Caenorhabditis elegans: one gene and its partner. The protein of the gene in region 2 purifies or fractionates together with the protein of the main gene of each other region. This does not show direct contact. Each region holds a gene or a part of one and is shown on either strand. Other genes may lie near its edges.

The links.
Region 1: the proteins of ssp-11 (region 2) and Y18H1A.4 fractionate together in Caenorhabditis elegans (co-fractionation; one large-scale study listed by BioGRID). This does not show direct contact.

What each region holds. Positions count from the first base shown.
Region 1 is NC_003279.8:690,070-698,017, forward strand, and holds Y18H1A.4 (Histidine phosphatase family protein), read right to left. Parts: upstream 4,582-7,948; 5' UTR 4,562-4,581; coding exon 4,512-4,561; intron 3,779-4,511; coding exon 3,442-3,778; intron 2,616-3,441; coding exon 2,528-2,615; intron 2,302-2,527; coding exon 2,114-2,301; 3' UTR 1,951-2,113; downstream 1-1,950. Other genes in the region: ptp-5.3 (Tyrosine-protein phosphatase domain-containing protein), read left to right, coding at 228-991, 1,044-1,187; Y18H1A.2 (CBF1-interacting co-repressor CIR N-terminal domain-containing protein), read right to left, coding at 4,996-5,255, 6,609-6,939.
Region 2 is NC_003282.8:4,997,455-5,003,215, forward strand, and holds ssp-11 (Sperm-specific class P protein 9/11), read right to left. Parts: upstream 2,361-5,761; coding exon 2,031-2,360; downstream 1-2,030. Other genes in the region: ssq-2 (Sperm-Specific family, class Q), read left to right, coding at 1-42; Forkhead box protein pes-1, read left to right, coding at 5,298-5,394.

The sequences.
Region 1 (7,948 bases), on a different chromosome or scaffold from region 2:
AGACTTCTAAAAAAGATCAGGAAATTTCTAGAACTTTTTTAGAATCTTCTGAAAACATCTTTCTAGAGTATACTAAAAACTTCTAGAATTTTCATAAAATTCCGCGAAGCTCGAGGAAGAGATTTGTTCAAACAATTTAATGTGGAGCCAGTCGGAGCACGCGCTTTGCGCGTGCGAACGGCTGGTTTTAGATATTTTGTAGTATTTTTCAAATCTTAAATTTTCAGACACAGCAGAGGTGAAAAAGGAATACGATAAACTGCAATCACAGAAAATCGATGTGGAGAAGGACTGTAAAACCTGGAAATCCAACCCAAAATTTAACCAATCGGAAGACTTTCCTGCCTTGGACTCCAATCTCGTGAAACTTGGCAAAGACTATGTGAACATCAGTCTTGTAGATGTTCCATTGGGAAGAAATGTTCATCTCGGTCAAGCTCCGGTCACGAATACGGAAGAAACATTCTGGAAAGCTGTGTTCGACAAGCGAATCACTCACATTGATCTACTCGTCGGCGATGAAACCATCGAATTCTTCCCTAAAAAGGCAGAAGATTATACAAATTATGGTCAGATGTGGATCAATAACCGCCGTGTCGAGTATGTCAATGACGATGTGTACCGATTTGCAATTGAAGTAGTGCCCCACGGATGCTCCAACTCGATCATCTGCAATGTGACTGTTATCAGCAATTGGAAAGTGGACACTGTGCCTTTGAAACAAGCAATCGCCATCAAAGAGGCACTTGGTCTAAACTACTTCTTGCTGAAAGCACCCGCTGACGAGCATGCGATGATCGTCTCACCACGTGGAGCTGGACGAGCTGGCTACTTTTTGGCACTTGCGGTTGCAGTCAACACAATTGATACAAAGCTTGCCGAACCATGTATTGCGGATATTGTCAAATCGATTCGCTCCCAGAGACCAAGAGCCGTGGATTCATTTTGTCAGTACTGCTCCCTGTACATTTCGTTGCTCTACTTCATCAAGGTATTGGTTTTTGAATTCTTGTAAAATGAGAGAATAATTCTCAAATTTACAGAAGAAAGTGACAAAACCAGCAGAAGGGGATAAAAAGCCAACACTGAGCAACAAATACATCTACAAGAAGTCGGTTGAGTTGACCAAGCAATTCACCGTTCTCCTTCTCGAAGCGAGTCAGCAAAGTGTGATGGGACCTGGATAGTTCTTCTCCATTTTGAATATGGAAAAGCATTTGAAGTGATCTGGGTTTGAAAATGAAGAATTTTATAAACCCTGGATTATTTCCGAAATCTTGCTTCCTGCCTGCTGTCTCATTGCGGCTTGATCTGCAAAAAAAGCGGTAATATCTCCCCCAGGAAAATGTGACGTCAGCACACTCTTAACCATGCGAACTTAGTTGAAACGTCTGCGTCTCTTCTCCCGCATTTTTCGAAGATCACACCAAAATGGGATACTTTGACAACACGTGCCTGCCATCGCTTCCTGACCGGGGATTTTGTTAGAAAATTCGTGGAAAATAGGAAGAAACATTTCGAGAAAATGGAATTATTGATTTTCTGATTTTCTCAAACAAAAAAAAATTAAAATCGATTGATTTCTGGCTTACCTTACCTAAATTGAAATGGAAGAGTTTGCCGAACTAGGCCATTTTGGCTCGGCTATATCTGGGGTATATTTACGGCGCGTTGCGTGTCGCGTCGCGGCTCGATTTTAGTTGTAAAACTAAATGTGATTTGTCCGTGTGGAGTACACGACTTTCACATGCGTTGTGCGGCGGGCGATTGTCAATGGAGCGCGAAAAATACAATGAGGAAGGCCAAAACCCCGTGTATTGATTTTTCGAAAATTTCGGAAAAATCTCTTTGTTTTATTCATTATATTTCTCCTAATTTCTTTGAAATGTTCAAAAAATCTGATTTTCTTTTTTTTCCCGAATTTTTGAAAAATCGATATTTGCTATCCATATTTCTCGAAAAGAAAATCGATTTATTAATTTTTTTCCGGTTTCCTGGAAGCTAATCAATTCAGAAAAAAGAATTAAGCTATGAATATATACTTATAAAAGTCGTAAAAGGTATGGAAATATAAATTATTTTAAAACAGCGATTTCTGACTGAAGCATCTCAACTACCAGGGCCTCAAGTTCTTCTTATCCGACAAATGAGACGAGTCGGAGCTATAATTGTGCCGATATTTTCCGGGCGCCGTCTCTTCGAACTCGGATACGGTAGCCTGCCCGACGTATTTGAAATCGCCCATTAGCACTTCGTGGCAAGCGCCGATTGATGCTCCGTGGCCGACGAGTAGGAGGTTTCCTGAAAGAAAATCGATAATTTGCGGCGTGTTTTTATTGATTTTTATGTGAAAATTGGCAAATTATTGATTTTTCGGCTGAAATCATAAATTACTGATTTTCTGTTAAAATCAGTAATTTATTGATTTCTTCGGCTAAAATCAGAAATTATCGATTTTTCTGTGAAAATCTGAAATTATTGATTTTTCTGCGAAAATCAGAAATTTACGTAGTTTCGCAAAAATTACCTTCATATTTCTCGAAAATCGCCCGCAGGGTCTTTCCGACACGTGGCACACACGCGTCATCTCCACATCCTTCGCGGGGTAGTGTGTACTGAAAAAAAAGTTCGGTAATTTTTCTAGGTCTCGCAGCGATTGCCGCCACCGGTATATTTTCATTTTTCCAACTATAGCGCCAGCACCGGCGCCGGCATCTTTTTATTTTTCCACGTAGCACGTCGGCGCCGGCAGCCGCGCAAACTATTTTCGCCGCCGCCGGCATCTTTTTATTTTCCACATAGCGTGCCAGCGGCGCCGCCGGCATATTTTTATTTTTCCACGTAGCACGTCGGCGCCGGCAGCCGCGCAAACTATTTTCGCCGCCGCCGGCATTTTTTACTTTTCCACGTAGCGCGCCAGCGGCGCCGCCGGCATGTTTTTATTTTTCCACGTAGCGCGCTAGCGCCGCCCCCGGCATCTTTTCATTTTTCCACGTAGCGCGCCAGCGCCGGCAGCCGCGCAAACTATTTTTCGCCGCCGCCGGCATCTTTTTATTTTCCACATAGCGTGCCAGCGGCGCCGCCGGCATATTTTTATTTTTCCACGTAGCGCGCTAGCGCCGCCGCCGGAATTCATTCATTTTTCCACATAGCGTGCCAGCGGCGCCGCCGGCATCTTTTTATTTTTCCACGTAGGGCTCTAGCGCCGGCGGCATTTTTCATCTTTTCATGCAGTGCGCCAGCGCCGCCGCCGGCATCTTCTCATTTTCCACGTAGCGCGCTAGCGCCGGCGGCAGCGCAAACCATTTTTCGCCGCCGCCGGCGCCTTTTCATTTTTTAATTAGTGCGCCAGCGCCGCCGCCGGCATCTTTTGATTTTTCCACGCAGTGCGCCAGCGCCGGCAACGGCGCAATTCTAATCTCGGTCTTTTTTGAGCGATACCTTCGAGAAAACAGGAATATAGTCCAAATCAACAAGCGGAAATTTCTCAGCTAGTTTGTCGGTTTCCCAGAATCCAGGAGGCTTATCACAAAGATAAAGTGCCTCACAAAGGCCACCGTCCGCCTTCACTTTCATTCCTTTATCCTCAATAATCGTCGAAGCTGTCTCAATTGTCCGATCGAACGGCGAGGCAAACGTATGCGAGATTTGTGCATTTTCGAACCGATTTTTGCACTCTTTCGCCTGTTGCCGACCGCGCACGCTGAGCATCGAATTGTCCGACGTGAGACCGTCGGCTCCGTCGAGTTTACGCCAATTTCGATTGATATTGTCCTCGCTGCAATGCAAAAAATCAATAATTTCTGATTTTCACCGTAAAATCAATAATTTCTGATTTTTGTTGAAAAATCATTACTACCGATTTTAACTGAAAAATCAATAAATTCAGATTTTCATTTTTTTTTTCGAAAAGTCGATAATTTCCAGATTTTCATCGAAAAATCAATAATTTGTGATTTTCACAAAAAATCAATAATTTCAGATTTTTACCGAAAAATTGATAATTTCAGATTTTCACCGAAAAATCAGAAATTATTGACTTTGGATAAAAATCAATAATTTACTGATTTTCATCGAAAAATCAATAATTTCAACCTTTCGCAGAAAAATCGATAATTTTTAATTTTCACCGTAAAATCAATAATTTCTGATTTTCACCAAAAATTAATAATTTTAATTTTTTTTTCGAAAAATCAATATTTTCTAATTTTTATCGGAAAATCAATAATTTCCGATTTTCACCAAAAAATCAATAATTTCAGATTTTTATCGAAAAGTCAATAATTTACGAATTTGACAAGAAAAAATCAATAATTTGCTGATTTTAACAGAAAATCAATAATTTTTGTTTTTCATTGTTTTTTTTTTCGAAAAATCAGTACTTTTTTAATTTCCCCAAAAAATCAATAATTTTTGATTTTATTTTTCGAAAAATCAATAATTTCAGATTTTAACCGAAAAAATCAATAAATTCAAAAAATTTCATTTTTTTTTTGAATTCTTAAAAGTACCGTTCCGCGTGTCGAACAATCCAAATTTTCCGTGGATAAGTGATCGGCATCCTATCGAGATCGGTTTTAGCTGAAAAAAAACCTTAAAAAATTGGAAAATTGTGTACTCCTCTCGGACACGTGGTGTCAGGCTCTCCCATTACGGCTTGATCTACAAAAAATGCGGGATTTTTCGTTCTTAACCATACGAAATAAGTTGAGAACTCTGCGTCTCTTTTCCCGCATTTTTTGTAGATCAACGTAGATCAGACCAAAATGAGGCACACTGAATGAAGACACCAGGATTTTTCGAAAAACTCTAAAGAAATTCTGCAAAAAGTGACGTCATGAGGTATATAGGTATGAAATCGAATACTTGGTATCAAATGACGGAAAAATAAACGAAAGTTGCAAAATTTTTTGATGGAATTTATTAGACTTTGGCGGGAAAACAGATCAAATTTACATTAAAAAATACGGGAAAAATACGGGGAAAAAAACCAAATTATTGCCTAAAAAATTCAGGATTAAATTGCGAGTTGTACTTTTTCTTCTTTCCACGCTTCTCCTCCGAATCCTCGGCGGCTTTTCGTTTCTGCAGCAGCTCAATTTCCTCGGGATGTAGCAAAGCATGGGCTCTCGCTTTCTCGACTCGTTCCCGTTTCAGACGCTCGTCTCGCATGCTCGCCAGCTTCTGCCGTCGTTCTCGATCGTATTCCTCTTCGAGTTGACGTTCTTCAGAGCTATCACGGTGGCGGTGCTTTTCTGGAAGAAAAATTGGGGGGTTTTTTTGTAGTTTGTAGTGGTGAGCACCCTATATTGGAGGCGCGAAAAAAGAGATTTTTCGAATTTTTTTGTAGATCAACGTATGGTTAAGAACGTACTGACGTCATATAATTTTGGGCGAAAAATTCCCGCATTTTTGGTAGATCAAACCGTAGTTGGACAAAAAGCAGATTTTTCGAAAAAAAATTACGAATTTCTGGCTTTCCTCATAAATTGAAATGGAAGAGTTTTTGCCGAACTAGGCCATTTTGGCTCGGCCATATCTGGGGTAGATTTACGGCGCGTTGCGTGTCGCGTCGCGGCTCGATTTTAGTTGTAAAACTAAATGTGATTTGTCCGTGTGGAGTACACGACTTTCCCACGCGTTGTCCGGCAGGCGATTGTCAATGGAGCGCGAAAAATTCAATGAGGAAGGCCAGAACCCCGTGGTGGTTCGATGCACAAAACTGATTTTTTTTTTGAATTTTTGGGATTGCGCAAGAAATTTCGCCGAAAAAGTCGATAACTCAAAAAATTCTAAAAAATTTGGATAATCTGGAGAAAAAACCCAAAATTTGCTGAAAATTTCGAAAAATTTAGCTTTAAATTTTTGCGCATGGCCGCCGGAAAAGAAAAAAACTCGGCCACCAATTTTTTGGCGGCCATGATGCAAGACACCATATTTGACGCGCAAAAAAAGGTGTTTTTGGATGTTTTTTTCTTTTTCCGCCAGAATTTTTAATAAATTTCCAGGGACAAAAAATCATAACCTGTTGCAAAAATGTTTTTTTTTTCGAAAAATTCAATTTTGCGCGTCAAATGTGATGCTTTAAGCTCTGTGGCCGCCGAAAAAGAGAAAACTCGGCCACCAATTTTTCACTCTCCATTGACAATAGCCTGCTGGACAACGCGTGGAAAAGTGTCGTGTACTCCACACGGACAAATACATTTAGTTTTACAACTAAAATCGAGCCGCGACGCGACACGCAACGCGCCGTAAATCTACCCCAGATATGGCCTGGCCTAGTTCGGCAGAAACTCTTCCATTTCAATTTATGAGGGAAGCCAGAAATCCGTGGCCGAAAAAGAGAAAACTCGTCCACCGATTTTTTTTTCTGACGGCCATGACAAGTTTGCGCGTCTATAATACATCATATTTGACGGGCAAAAAATTTTTTAAAGTTTTTTCGAATTTTTGTGATTTTCGAGCAGAAAAAAAAATTGTCTGAAAATTTATGTGGCCGCGGTAAACTTCGGCCACCGATTTTCGACGATTTTGCCCGTGTTTTTGACGGAAAAAGCACCATATTTGACGCGCAAATTTTCAAAAAAAAAAAAGCCCAAAAATCGCACTTTTCTTCTTCTTCTTGTCTTTTTTATGCCGTTTCTTCGCCTTTTCTTCACTATCACTATCCTCTCGTTTCCGCTTCCTCTCCTCTTCCAGCTCTTTCCGCTTCAAACACGGCAGAGCATCGCGCGCTTTTCGTCGATCAAGTGGCTCGGCGGCTCTTCGCAGCGGCAGCTCCTCGTACCACTCTTTTTTCTTGTTTAAATCGTTCGTATTATCCGCGAAATACACCTGAATTCCCATTTTCGACTCCCATTCCTTCTTCTCGGCAGCTTTTTCCGCTTCGTAGTCGCGGTTTCCGGATCCATAGTTTTTTCGTTCTTCACGTTCGAGATCCTGCAAAATATCGATTTTTTTTGGAGAAAAATATAGTTTTTTTTTGGAGAAAATTATCGATTTTTTGGAAAAAATTATCGATTTTTCGGGGAAAATTAACGATTATTTTAATAGAAAATTATCGATTTTATTTGGGAAAAAAATCACTGATTTTTTGGAAAAAATTATCGATTTTTTTCGGAGAAAAAATATTAAATTTTTTGCAGAAAATTATCGTTTTTTTTTTTGAAAAAAATTACCGATTTTTCAGAGAAAAATATCGATTTTTTAGAATAAAATTATGGATTTTTAAATATAAAATTATCGATTTTTAGGGAGAAAATTATCGATTTTTTTTGGAGAAAAATATTGTTTTTTTTTGGAGAAAAATATAGATTTTTTTGAAGACATTTATCGATTTTTTGTTGATAAAATTATCGATTCTTCGGGGAAAAATATAGCTTTTTTTGGATGAAATTATCGATTTTTTGGGAGAAAAAATACCGATTTTTTTGGATAAAATTATCGATTTTTTTGAAGAAAAAGTATCAAATTTTTTGAAGAAAATTGTCAATTTTTTTGGAAATAAATATAGTTGTTTTGGATAAAATTATCGATTTTTCAGCTAAAAATATAGATTTTTTTAGATAAAATTATTGAATTTTAAAAAGAAAATTATCGATTTTATGGGTAAAAAATAACGATTTTTTTGGAGAAAATTATTGATTTCTTCGGGGATAAATATTGATTTTTTCGGGGAAAATTATCGATTTTTGGATAAAATTATCGATTTTTTGGAAAAAATTATGGATTTTTTTTGAAGAAAAATATTGATTTTATTGGAGAATAATATCGAATTTTTTCGGGAAAATATCGATTTTTTGGAGAAAATTATCGATTTTTTTTGAGAAAATTATCGATCTTTTGGGTAAAATTATCGATTTTTTGAAGCAATTCTGAGCCAAATTTTGAATTTTCGAGCGGCAATTTTTGCACAAAGCATCATATTTGACGCACAAAATTCGAATTT
Region 2 (5,761 bases):
GCTGGAGGAGGTGCCACATCTGCATACTTTGCACCCAAGTAAGAAGAAAATATTGGAATGTTTTGAACTTTTATAGCCAATAAACAGTAGAAAGTCGGTTTTAAATTACAATTCATATTTTACACGAACAGATAACAATACCGTAGCAAAGGCTAGTAAGCCATTATTGAATGTTTCTTCTTTTCAAATAAAACAAATTTAATTGATTGGTGATTCTCATCGTGAACAACTATCTCAGGGTAAGACAGGAGAACGTCATTTAAATCTGAAAAGTTTGGAAATATTGTGAAATTGCCATCATTTCCCAGACGTTTCAGAAGTTGCTTGAAGTTTTTAGTAGTTACACTTTTTTACACTACAGTAATCCTACAGTTCAGTACTACCGTGGTCTCCAACTTTTGCGTTTTATTATTATTTTTTTAATATTTTTGAAAATAACTGCCTCCCAGGAGTGCGCGGCAATTCTACAAAATGAGACGGTTGGGCATTTTCCCCGATATTTAAAATTTAAAAAGATAATGTGGAAAAATATTTTCTCTGTCTGGAAATAACTTTCATTTGATTTGGAACAGCCGAGAAAGTGTTTAAAATTGTTCGAAAGTTGAAAATTACCGGTGAAAATTGCCAAAAAATTGACGGCAATTTTCATCGTCAATTCTCAACTTTCGGACAGTTTTTGAACACTTTCTTGGTATTTAAAAATTAAATAAAAGTTATTTTCGAATAAAGCGAATATTTTTCTAAATTGCATTGATAAATTTTAATGAAAAATATCTGAGGAACATGCCCAACCGTCTCATTTTGTAGAATTGCCGGTCGGCAACTGCCGCGCACCCCTGCTGCCTCTTATCACTTCTGCGAGAGAGTTCCTCAAGCATGTGAGCCTGTACAACAGTTTTGGATCTGAAAAAATCTGATGCAGAAAAAAATTGTGTGTCCAGCCGTGGAGAGTAAACTAAAATTGTTTCAGCACCTTAAACCTCCTTCACATCTAATCAATAGTGACATGAATCTTTTCGACCATTATCAAAAAAATTGGAGATGGCAAAAATGAATTTGTACCAACTATGCTGGTTGGTAGACATTATTGAAATTAATTCCTAATTACAAAACCTATTACAAATATATAAGTAACTATACAGTAAATCCTCACTCAAATCCTCTAATCTCACCGCCAAGACAAGGTGCAATTGACACCTTCCTACCGTAATCGACTCGCCTCAACTCAATTGGGTGCGAAGTTCTTGTCAAATATCGGGAACTCTTTTGGCGGTATTTTAGGTTTATATATATTGTTTCAATTGTATATGAATGACAGTTTTAAAAGTTTGGAAATCTGTGAAATTCGCATTGACAGCTTTTTGAGGCGGCTCCCAGTCTGCTTTGAACACTTTTTAGCAATTGAAAACTGTTAGATTTTGCCTGAAAGATTTACAATCTTATTAAAATCTGTTTAGCTAGGTATTAGCATTATACAATTACAATCGGTAAAAAAATTCGGAGCGTTTAATGACAATCAAAATTCTATAATGAATTGACTGCCCAAGCCAAGTATTCTTCTCGATTTCTTGAAACTGAAAAAAGTATTGTAGTAATTCTTTGAAAAAATACAAGTCTCTTTTTTTTCCTCTAAGCACCTGACTGTTCCGATGTATCAGAAAGTCATCCAAATTAAGAAATTGAAAAGTGAGACTTCTAAGAAATTGCAGCGGAAAAACACTGGAAAACTGGAAAAAATATATCTCAAAAATATTTTTGCATTGAAAATAAGATCGAGTTGGATGCGCAAATTTTCCATTTCTCCCAAAAAAAATTCCGAAAATCAGAATTTCGGAGAAATTGTAAGGACCGCAAAGAAGAATGATTAAAGTTCAAATTTCCAGACTTTTTAGTTCGATGTATTTCTTCATATCTCATGTATACTCTTGGTATCTTTTTATAAAAAAATCTTACGAAGGACCGAGAAAACAACAAAAAATGAGCTCGTCAAAAAACTTTATTTTCATCTTTACACAAAGGAAAGTTCTATTTTAGGCGGTGGCCGACATTGGAATGGTGACAGTTCCAGCAGGAGTCACTGCAGCGAAAGCGGCTTGAGCATCAGTAGCATCAGCTGGTGCTGGTGCAAAATGGATGACAAGTTTATCCTCTTTTGGTGCACCAGCAGTACGAGTGATCACAACATCCTTTGATCCAGCTGGATCGACAAATCCGAACACCGGGGCAATGCGGTATTCGTTGTTGTTGGATGATTTGATCTTGAAGATGATCTTCTCAGCTCCACCATTGACGAGCTTGTGGGTGGAGGATCCTCCGGCAGCTGGGACAGTGCAGGCTGGTGGATCGGCAGTGAGGGACATGTTGTAGCTTCGGTTGTTGGTTGTTTGGTACTGAAGACTGATTTTATTACGGCTTTCGCCAAATATTTATACCCTTTCTTATCAAGATGTACTAATGACCTCTTCACGTTTTCACACGGGAAATTATTTAAACTTTTTCTTTATTTTTATTTCTAACAAAAATCTTGAAAATAAAAATAACGAATTCATTTTTTTTCAGTTTTAAAGGTGGAGTAGTTTGGCCTCTAAACACCTGCCTGTTCCGATGTATCAGGAAGTCATCCCAATTAAGAAATCAAAAAGTGAGACTTATTACACCTGCTCTGTAATTAATCTCCATTCAAAAATAACAACAATGGCACACTTCCGGGAAGATAGGGTTCAAGAAGAGTGACCCTAGCAGCATACGGTGGGTATCTCTGGTGTCATGTGTAGGGTTTAGGTTGACGTAGTTTAGTTCAATTTGAGGAAATTTTTAATTTTCTTTTTTGAGAATCTGAAATATTATTTGTCTCGGATCGCGTTCAATACAGTGTGATGTTTTTTAGTCAATTTATTTCCTGTTTCACCAAAAAGATATACCGATTTTCAATTATTGTGTGAATTCTTTCTCTAGTTTTAAACTTTTATTTTTAAAAATATAAAAGTTTGTTACGTTTGTCTGTTTGTTGTGAATATTTTTAGTCAACTTTGAGTTTTGCTTTCCATGCTGACTTTCTGAAGAAATCAATCACCAGTCACATTTCGTAAAAGTCTAATTAGTTGAAGACAAATATATCTTTGTGATTTTGAACTTATCATCCCACCCCACTACCGTGTGACGTACTTGTCTTATTTTGGGTTTCATGATTTTTTAATAATAACTTTGGAGTGGAGAAATGATAAAAAATTTTCCTTTCATTGCTGCTGAGCTAAAAACTGTTATAAAAACGTTCAACTTAAGAAAAAAGTTGTGCAATATCATCACGAAATCATAAATAGGTTTGATCTCATTTTTAAGCTTAAATTGCTTTATTAACGTTCTATTTTTCTTTTTTTTTTGTTGAAAAACATAACTTTTGTGATGTGACAACTTCGAATTGAGTAGTGTTTCTAAATAACTAACAGTAATAATAATTCTAAAAAACAGTGAAGTCAATTTTTTTTCTGTTTCACCAAAAAGATATGAGGATTTTCAATATTTGAGTGAATTCTTTTTCAATTTCTAATATTTCAAACAATATGAAAGTTTGTTCCGTTTGTCTGTTTGTTGTAAATATTTTTAGTTAATTTTGAGTTTTGAGTTTTCCAACTTTGAGTTTTTATGATGAAATTTGAACAATCCTGTTAGAAAAATACAATTTTCTCTGAAACTTTTCCCACAATTCCATGAAGGGGTATTCAAAAAAAATCTCAATTTCAGAGTAGTTGAGTTTATCAACTGCAAAAATTGAAATTTCTCTTAAAAGCTGAAGAAATGCATTACAAAGGTTATTTAAATCACTTTTACTATTCTGTACGCTTTGCACGGTGCAGTTTTCAACAGTTTTGATTGTCAATTTCACTTGTCCCGGACTCAAAAACTTTTTCATCGCCGGAAAAAGCCGGCCAAAGCCTAACTTGAAGGCAGAAGCCAACATTGTACCAAAATTCTATAATTCAAGGTTGTCTGGATAAGATAAAACAAAAAGTCAACTTCCGAAGAACAAAACAAAAACTTCAAGGTTTGGTTTTCCTCCTTTGCAAATCTTTTTTTGTTATCAAGAATCGTTTCATCTACAAAAGTGGCAAAATTATGATGAAAGTAAACGAGTGTGTGTTTCAAAAGTACCTTAACTTCTTCTCCGTAGTTTCTACCGAAATTCCAATCTTCTGACATTTCCATATTTCGTCTAATTTTCTCATTCCTAATTTTTTGTCAATTGACAAAAATGTGTTGTTTTGAGACCTATTTTCCTGACAAATTTTGCCAACAAGGTAATATCAAAAAGGTGTAAATCCCAATGATTCCTCTTTATCCCACGACAGTCCTAATATTTTTATGGACTCTTCTCTGATTTACAACGATGGTGTTCTGTTGACCTACTGACCGCCGGCAAAGGGAGTTTGAAAAAAAGTATGATATGGGCGGTGGTATTGTACCCCCAGCGACAGAGCAGATGTTTTACAACTCCTCCTCTTCTTATTTGCCACTTTCCTCTCGAGACAGACACCCATATAGTGTGAGGCTGTGAGTATCTTCTACTAATGTTTTTACCATCTAACAGGTGCTGATACTTTTTCTTTTTAAACACTTCCACTTTTTTGTTGCGCTTGTGTTGTACTTTTTGAAAATGATGTAATCTAGGAGGTACCGTGAAAATTTTAAATATCTGTAGATTGTTGAGAATTAGATAAAAATTGTTTGGCGCTTTACCATATTTTTGAAACATTACTTCAAATTTTCTGGTAGTTGTATCGTATAACACTGTTTTATCTTCCCGATAAAAATCTCGCATTCATTGTTTTTTTTCAATTCTGAAATGTCTCCCAAAAAAGTTTGAATTTGATTTCTATTCCCAGATTACTTGTTGAACCACACACGTCGGTTAATTTTACTATCTATCGCCCCGACAATCATACATAAACTACAATTATCAAGCCAATTGTTTGTTTCAATTTTCGACTACTGCGGTTATTGATAATTTACCAAATCTCTAGTTCCAAATTGTTTTCATAAGAACAATTTTAATTTTCCACTGGTTACCTGCTTTGATTTTAAATTTCATTTTAATCAATATTTTTATAAACAAGGCGCTTGAAAAATAGTTCATTACTAATTAGAACACAACAACTCCTAGTTTTGGCATCGTCTGCTTGTTAAGTGTATTCATCAAAACATTTTATTCTGTTTCACAATCTTTTTAATATTCCGCAGTCGGCTTTCAAACTTATTAGTATAAATTGTTTTCTTTTACTACTACATAATAATACATTTAGATGACGTCATCAATCAAATCTGATGCTCCACAATTTCTGCTCGATTTGGATAACTGTTCTTCACTTCCTCCAACACCGCCGAAAACCGCATCTCCAGGTAAGTTGCAATGCTAATACATAGTTGAAGGAAAGCATCGGGGGTTTGAAAATTCGTTGTAAGTACAACAATTTCATGAAACAGTAATTTTTTTTCGAAAGCACAAAAATTTTTTCTAATTTTTCCCAAGCTTGTAAAAAAACTTTGTCGAAATCCCATATCCATTACATAATTGGCAGATGTATATTGCGTCGGTTTATGTGTTCACAGAGCAATTCACACTCATTGTTTCAACTTTTTTGCCAAGTTTGCGCAAAAAGCGTCGGGATTGGTTTCCCATCATTGTGTTGAGTAGGTGCTATGATAGGGTGTGAATTGGATTTGGGTTACGGTCGGAAATTTGCGGAAAAGTTATTTGGGCTCTTCT